Linked DNA regions of Arabidopsis thaliana. The protein of the gene in region 2 interacts with the protein of the main gene of each other region in a biochemical or structural test. Each region holds a gene or a part of one and is shown on either strand. Other genes may lie near its edges.

What was found.
Region 1: the proteins of FH (region 2) and NFS1 form a complex in vitro, tested with the Arabidopsis thaliana proteins (one study listed by BioGRID).

The regions. Positions count from the first base shown.
Region 1 is NC_003076.8:26,294,453-26,298,863, forward strand, and holds NFS1 (nitrogen fixation S (NIFS)-like 1), read left to right. Parts: upstream 1-1,572; 5' UTR 1,573-1,605; intron 1,606-1,625; exon of another isoform or gene 1,626-1,737; 5' UTR 1,738-1,896; coding exon 1,897-3,258; 3' UTR 3,259-3,620; downstream 3,621-4,411. Other genes in the region: HSL2 (HAESA-like 2), read left to right, coding at 1-521, 609-988. UniProt on the Arabidopsis thaliana protein: Catalyzes the removal of elemental sulfur from cysteine to produce alanine. Supplies the inorganic sulfur for iron-sulfur (Fe-S) clusters.
Region 2 is NC_003075.7:1,422,712-1,426,611, forward strand, and holds FH (frataxin-like protein), read right to left. Parts: upstream 2,062-3,900; 5' UTR 2,048-2,061; coding exon 1,830-2,047; intron 1,741-1,829; coding exon 1,668-1,740; intron 1,571-1,667; coding exon 1,523-1,570; intron 1,424-1,522; coding exon 1,329-1,423; intron 1,104-1,328; coding exon 974-1,103; 3' UTR 527-973; downstream 1-526. Other genes in the region: AT4G03230 (G-type lectin S-receptor-like Serine/Threonine-kinase), read right to left, coding at 1-117; AT4G03250 (Homeodomain-like superfamily protein), read left to right, coding at 2,339-2,348, 2,828-2,935, 3,019-3,624, 3,800-3,879. UniProt on the Arabidopsis thaliana protein: Promotes the biosynthesis of heme as well as the assembly and repair of iron-sulfur clusters by delivering Fe(2+) to proteins involved in these pathways.

The DNA.
Region 1 (4,411 bases), on a different chromosome or scaffold from region 2:
GGGCGGGTCGGGTTTGGTTTATAGAGTGAAACTCAAATCAGGTCAAACGCTTGCGGTGAAGAAACTCTGGGGAGAAACGGGTCAAAAAACGGAATCTGAATCTGTTTTTCGATCCGAAGTAGAGACGTTGGGTCGGGTCAGACATGGAAACATCGTGAAACTTCTTATGTGCTGCAACGGCGAGGAGTTTCGGTTCTTAGTGTACGAGTTCATGGAAAACGGCAGCTTAGGTGACGTTTTGCATTCGGAGAAAGAACATCGTGCCGTTTCTCCACTTGATTGGACGACACGATTTTCGATCGCGGTTGGTGCTGCTCAAGGACTTTCTTATCTACATCATGACTCTGTTCCGCCTATTGTTCACCGTGACGTCAAAAGCAATAATATATTGTTGGACCATGAGATGAAGCCACGTGTCGCCGATTTCGGTTTAGCTAAACCGTTGAAGAGAGAAGACAATGATGGTGTCTCCGATGTTTCAATGTCTTGTGTTGCTGGATCCTACGGCTACATTGCTCCGGGTTCGAATTCTTAGCTCTACAATATCAAATCGTTAAAACCCTATACGCAAGCGTTTTAGTAACATTACTGTTCTTCTGTGGATGCAGAATATGGTTATACGTCAAAAGTGAATGAGAAGAGCGATGTCTATAGCTTCGGGGTGGTTTTACTCGAACTGATTACGGGAAAAAGACCGAACGATTCGTCTTTTGGGGAGAATAAGGACATTGTTAAGTTTGCAATGGAAGCAGCTTTGTGTTACCCTTCTCCATCAGCAGAAGACGGAGCCATGAATCAAGATTCACTTGGAAACTATCGAGATCTTAGCAAGCTTGTTGATCCAAAGATGAAACTTTCGACGAGAGAGTATGAAGAGATAGAGAAAGTTCTTGACGTTGCATTGCTCTGTACGTCGTCTTTTCCTATCAACAGGCCGACCATGAGGAAAGTAGTAGAGTTGCTTAAAGAGAAGAAATCACTAGAGTGATATTAATCCTAGGCTTTTAATTATTAGGCTTCTATAATGTACAAAATCCGACTAGGATTGTTACTCATTATTATAGCCATAGGTTGGACTTTGCTTTAAAGTTTGGGTTTTTAGAAATTAAACTACTTAAAGTTTGAACCAAAAAAAAACAAAGGAAAACTACCTGAAAACTTTTGTTTTCTTGCTTCACAAGACTCTACAGACTTCAAATTTCATATATAAAAGGATAATTCAAATGGTTCCGGATGAAAATTTCCTTTTGTTGATGTTTTCAGTATAGTTATAGTCTCTTACTTAGTAAGTTAGGTTTATGGTTTTTATTTAATTATCAAATTCGTCACAACTTTGCTTTCTTAGATCCAAAAATTCGTCTAGCTATAGTTCAAATTGGTTAAAGCTGCTGATTCTCAGAGTTTTTTTCTAAATTCCTATGTCAGGATTAGGAAATAGCTTCAAGTAGTAGTTTTTGTTCGTCTGGCATGTAATTTCTGATTGAATTGTTATTTGTTGGTATGTTGTAGATCAAAGCGGATAAGGTGTATTCGATATGTAGACGAACTTTCACGGTTTTTAATTGGCGATATGGAGACTCTATTTTCACCTTTTTAGTGGACCAGGTTAGACAAATATACAAGAGCCTCTTAAAGAAAAAAATAAAAATAGTATTGGGCAACTTATAGGCCCATTATGTATATTAACAGGCCAGTTTCTCATAGGCTTTTGATACTTTCATGGACTCGAAAATTTAGGGTTTCAGAGACGACCACGTTACCACCGTCATGAAACCGCCAGTGACCGTAACATATTCACCTCTCGCATCTTCTTCTTCTTCACGGAGAAGCAATCGAAGAGAATCAATCAACTAGACAAAAATCGGAAGAAGAAACACAAACCGAGGTTTTAGAAACATGGCGTCTAAGGTAATCTCTGCCACAATCCGCAGAACCCTAACCAAACCACACGGCACTTTTTCCCGGTGTCGCTACTTATCAACCGCCGCTGCTGCGACGGAGGTGAATTACGAGGATGAATCGATTATGATGAAAGGAGTTCGAATTTCAGGTAGACCTCTTTACTTAGATATGCAAGCGACGACTCCGATTGATCCTAGAGTATTCGATGCGATGAATGCTTCACAGATCCATGAGTATGGGAATCCTCACTCGCGAACGCATCTCTACGGCTGGGAAGCTGAGAACGCCGTCGAGAACGCACGAAACCAGGTCGCGAAACTGATCGAAGCTTCACCGAAGGAGATCGTATTCGTGTCCGGTGCAACGGAGGCGAACAATATGGCGGTGAAAGGAGTGATGCACTTTTACAAGGACACGAAGAAACATGTGATAACTACACAGACTGAGCATAAGTGTGTGCTTGATTCGTGTAGGCATTTGCAGCAAGAAGGATTTGAGGTAACTTATTTACCTGTGAAAACTGATGGATTGGTTGATTTAGAGATGTTGAGAGAAGCTATTAGGCCAGACACAGGGCTAGTTTCTATTATGGCTGTGAACAATGAGATTGGTGTGGTTCAACCTATGGAGGAGATTGGTATGATTTGCAAAGAGCATAATGTTCCGTTTCATACTGATGCTGCTCAAGCTATTGGGAAGATACCTGTTGATGTTAAGAAGTGGAATGTTGCTTTGATGTCTATGAGTGCTCACAAGATCTATGGACCGAAAGGTGTTGGTGCTTTGTATGTGAGGAGGAGGCCGAGAATCAGGCTTGAGCCGTTGATGAATGGTGGAGGTCAGGAGAGGGGATTGCGTAGTGGTACGGGGGCTACGCAGCAGATTGTTGGGTTCGGGGCTGCTTGTGAGTTGGCTATGAAGGAGATGGAGTATGATGAGAAGTGGATTAAGGGGTTACAGGAGAGGTTGCTGAATGGGGTTAGAGAGAAGCTTGATGGTGTTGTGGTGAATGGTTCAATGGATAGTCGATATGTAGGGAATTTGAATTTGTCGTTTGCTTATGTTGAAGGAGAGAGTTTGTTGATGGGATTGAAGGAAGTTGCAGTGTCTAGTGGAAGTGCTTGTACTAGTGCGAGTTTGGAGCCTTCTTATGTGTTGAGAGCTTTGGGTGTGGATGAAGACATGGCTCACACTTCGATTAGGTTTGGGATTGGTAGGTTTACCACGAAGGAAGAGATTGATAAAGCGGTCGAGCTTACGGTTAAACAAGTTGAGAAGTTGAGGGAAATGAGCCCGCTTTATGAAATGGTTAAAGAAGGTATCGATATCAAGAACATTCAATGGTCTCAACACTGATTCAACAGTTCCACTCAAACTGTGCGGGACAAGAGGGAATCTCCAGTCTGTGGTCAGCCGGGGTATATGAGAGCCATACTGAGATGTGAGTATGAACGATGATATGATCCTGTGTTCTTACTATGTTCTGTTGGTAAGTTATCTATCTATATTGCTTTCTAGAGAGAATTGCATGTGAGAGTTTCTTGTGTGGTTTTGTAATAAAACAGAAACAAAGGTTCATTTCTGGTTAGATTGTGATATCCTTTGAAATTGAATGATTAATTTTTAGGTGTTGTGAGCTTAGCTTTTTTAGCTACGGTAATGGTGAAGTTTGTTTTGTTTTTCTTCTTATTTATGAAAATAAAATACAATTTTATGTGAATATTTTTTTTATTCCTCTTTTCTCACTCTCTAAAAATGTCGGCGAGTCTCACTAAGATGTTGAAGTAACAAAACATGAAATGAGAAATGAAATTAATGTTCTTACCTTCATGTTAAGTTGAAGTAGATCATAATTATCCCATGTGATTTGGTACCAAAGTTTTTTTTTTCAGATCTACGTACACTCGAGTCGACCTTTGCTATGAACTCAAATATGATCCAATAAAATTTTATATTCTTCTGTGTTTTTTTTTTTTGTATTCAAATTTGGATAGAAACAAGTATTTAGTAGGTCGTAGGTGCCATAGGTGGCCCTTGGGAAACATCCAATGGATACAAACCTCATATTATAAATTCTCTATGCCAAAATAATTAGGACCATAGGTTATGTTATGTACCTCAACCATCCTTTGATTGAGACATTAAATTCCTTCACGTTTGTAAACCACACTTTCGTATACATTTTCTTCCCTAACACTTCTTGGCACTGTTTCTTTTATTAATTTGATTTTTGAAACATATGTCAAAAGAAAAGAAAAGAATCGAAACATTTAATTAATTAATGTTTGTAATTGCACGTTGTACATTCATTACTTTTATAAAGAGACTGATCAAATGATGATTGATAATCCTTTTAGTGTATATTAGGCGTGTCAATGGTGTATATATTATATAGTGTCTATATGTCATAAGAAACGTCATAAATTTTATCAAAGGAACAACAATTTAAGTCTGATTAATCTATAATTCTCATCCTTACATTTTCATTGGCATCAAATTTAGGTAATTT
Region 2 (3,900 bases):
GCTGTCATTGATCAATGTTGAACCTTTGAACAATGTTTTGGAGTCTTGAACTGCAACAAAACAATCTAATCGACGAATATGCAGCAAAAACATATAGAAGAAGACAGAAAGAATCATTCTCTGACCAGTACTAGCTTTTTTTTACTCATCTGATATCTCCATTATTTCTGCTTAAGAACTCAACTCAAAACGTGTCTAACGAAAAAAGAAAAAGTTTGCCTCAACGTCAACGAAAGACCCACCTGAAAAGTAAATATGTGGAACGCAGCTAATCATGTGTTTTAAGATGTTTCCAAGAAAAAGCAGAACAAGTCTCACTTGAGCATCTGAACCAAAAGCCATGAAAGTAGTAGATACTATTTACACTCTCTTAGCCACTGTATGTAGATACACATGTGACCAATTCACGCACTTTGTGTCAACTTTTTCCGCGATGGATCTCTAAATAGTTCAAAAAGATCCAACATTTTTTGAATAATACGTACTTTTAGAGTATTTTTTGACAATGAGAGAGACATAGGGGTACCTAAACGTGAATTACTGGAAAAAGGGGACAATGATGTTGAAGAAGTCAATCTTTTGTCCTTATTGGTGCTTTCGAAGAAGTGGAGATTGACCCTGCAAACATTGTTAACCAACTTTTTTCCGAAATTATTGTGAGATTCGAGGAGTTTTGACAAATGTAGGACTTTTGTCGTTCAAAAGAAATGTTTTCATCTAAAACGCGTAAACCTGTAAAAGGCAGCTTCAGCTCTGATTAAACAAAGAGACTTGCAACAATGTCACTATGAGACATTACTGTTTAAAAATAGATTCAGAAACACTAATCAGTTTTCACACTAAAACAACTTTGTCTTCTGCCTTGTTTGTTTATTCCTCTGGATGTTTCATAGATATACCTTTAACAGGGTATAGCAGTTTCAAGTTCATAGATGAAACCCTTTCGCTCACAAATATTGTTTTAAAGCCTTCTTTATGAGAGTTGGATTGGTTCACCACATAGATTCTCTAACTCCTCTTCCAGGAGTTTATGCAACTTTGCTTCAGTTCGCCGATATATCCACGCATTAGCATCACGGTCCCAGTCAAATCTAGAAGGGCCACTGCACCGAGACAAAAGGAAGAATGAAGATTACATTAATGTGAATCTAAGATGTGGAAGCACAAAGTCAAGAGCAACAACACTATACAGTCATAAACAGTTTCATTTCTCCAAATATCATGAGTACAAAAATCAGAAGAGAGAGCAGAACATGATAATCCAGATGCGAAATTCAATCTAGGCGCCTAAAGTTAGCAACTTTCAAAAGGCAAGAAAGAATCTTTACCTCACAGGTGAAGACATCCAGATTTGTCGATTTGGAGTTTGCTTATTCAGTACATAAGTGCCTAAAGATCCAAGCTTAAGGGTAAGAACTTCATTCTGTTGGAAACAGCCAAAAGGACTGACTATAATAAGTACACATAGATTTCCAGAAATATGAACAAGATCTTAAATTGCTTAAAAGAGTTTAATCCTTACCCCATAATCTATGTCGAAACCATCAATCTGAACATTATCACCATAATCCTGAACATGAATCATGCAAGTAGAACATAGTGTAAGCTATTGCAATCTCAAGTAAAACGAAGAACCCTAGAGAGAAAAAGGTTCCAGCTTCAAATACCTCAATTTTCTCAAGAAGGTGATTAATTGTGAAGTTGGCTAATTTGTGAAACTCTTCCTCCTGCAAAACCGAACTGTTTTTTTCTTCCACTTTGTTCATATTCTCATGAAATTAACGATTCAGATACAATAAAGGAGATCAAAATGGAGAATATTAAAGTACCTGTAATCGACAGAAGCAGGACCTTGAGAAGAGAAGCTTCTGGTAGTCAAAGAATCATGGCGGATTCGAGATCCTATTCTCCAGAAGGAATCCAACGGTTCTATGGAATCTTGAATCAGATTGCTTGAAACTCTTACGCCATTGCTACGGAGAAGAGTTGGAGACAGCTTGAGAAACCTCGGCAATTTCCGTAGAAGAAACCTTGAAGCTGTAGCCATGGCGGTTCTGTCACAAGAAACATTCGACGCCTCTCTTCTTCTTATTCCTTCGTTGTCCAATTTAGGCCCACAATAAGGCCCAAATTTAGATTTACCCGGTTCACGTATTTCCCATGTTCCGGTTTACTGAAACCGGTATGGTTCTCAAGAGATTTGTCATTTGTGTGCGAAGAAGAGTTTTCTTCTCCTCTCATAAGAAAAAACCAGAATTTTGAAGAAGGAGAAAGAAAAAAATCTGGGTTTTTGGGAGCTGATTAGGTTTTGTTCCTTCAATCTCTGGGAATTTTCGCTATGCACTCAGGTGAAATTCGTTTTTTCCTCTATTTCAATCTCTGTCTTCCTGCGAGTTTACGTGAGAGAATAGTTTTTAATGATCCCGAGTTCGTCGAATTACAATGCAACTCCCAGTTTTTGTAGTTTTAATTAGCGAAATTCATCAATGGCATTGGAAATTTTAAGCCTTTTTTGGTTTGTTTTATGGTACTACTAATTATTCAAGCTAAGGAATTCCAAAGTTTTCGTTCGTTTTGATTGGGTTTAGAAGTATTTGGCTGATGAGAGAAAGAGCCATAATTCTGAAATTAAACCCTTTTATGTGAAGCTTGTGTAGATGTTTTACCTGAATTTCGGAATTACTAGCAACATTTCTAAATACACAAAGCATGATTGTAAAATGAAATTGATTTTGGTCAGGGCTTTGCATCTCTTGGTTATTGAATGGTGTCCGTGTTTCACTATTATCTTCTTATGTTTTTGATTTTTATGTGCTATTTTCGATAGATTCAGGCGAAGCGACCGCTGATGGCGATAAAGCTTCTACAGAAAACAGCAAAAAACGGAAGCTTAAGACTCCTATGCAAGTTATGGCGCTTGAGAATTTCTACAATGGTAAATTATGGCTTTGTTGTTTGCATATGTTCCTTTATACCAAGTTGTATATGCTTTACAGGTGTGATTTGGTTTTTCTACAGAGCATAAGTATCCGACTGAAGAAATGAAGGGCAAGTTAGCAGAGGAAGTTGGATTAACTGAGAAGCAAGTTTCAGGTTGGTTCTGCCATAGAAGGTTAAAAGACAAACGTCATGTAAAAGAAGATGGGAATGCCATTGGGAGCCAAGATCGGTCAAGCGTTGTTCTTCAGGATCGTGGAAGTGGGCTTCGACAGGATTCATGTGGTAGTACAAAGCAAACGGATTATTGGAACCCCAAGCCTAGGGAAGTTGAAAGTCAAAGGCTTTATATGGGAAATGCTGATGGTGAAGATAGTACATCTTCTGATCGTAGCTCATCATTACGTAAGAATCTTGTCTCTAGCAAAGATGGAATTCGCGATGTGGAAAGTTCTAGATATGTTGCACATAAAGACGTTATTCAGCATCCTCAGTTCATGAGAAGCTATGGGTATAATAAGCCTTCGGGATACTTGAAAGTGAAGGGAGAGAGTGAGAATTTTGCTATCACTGCCGTAAAGAGACAATTAGGAAGACAATACCAAGAGGATGGTCCACCTCTGGGGGTTGAATTTGATCCTCTTCCTCCCGGTGCATTTGAGCCTCAGACTAATCCTATAGTTCACGGTGAGTCATGATAAAATGTTTCAACTTTACCTTTAATTTTCTGGTTTATGATGTTATGAGTATTGAGTAAGTGGCTCAGAGAAGCTAAAACCATCTTCTTCGTGTGTCAGATTGTGAATGCCTTTACCCATGTCCAGTCGGATTTGATTGCTTTTTCTATCAACTGTTTTGTCAGAGCCAATATATGTTGGGAATCAGAGACGGCCTCACCTTCCACATTTACTTGGAACGAGGAAGAGCTTTAATCCTGGTCCTGTAAGTGAACATTTTCTGTAT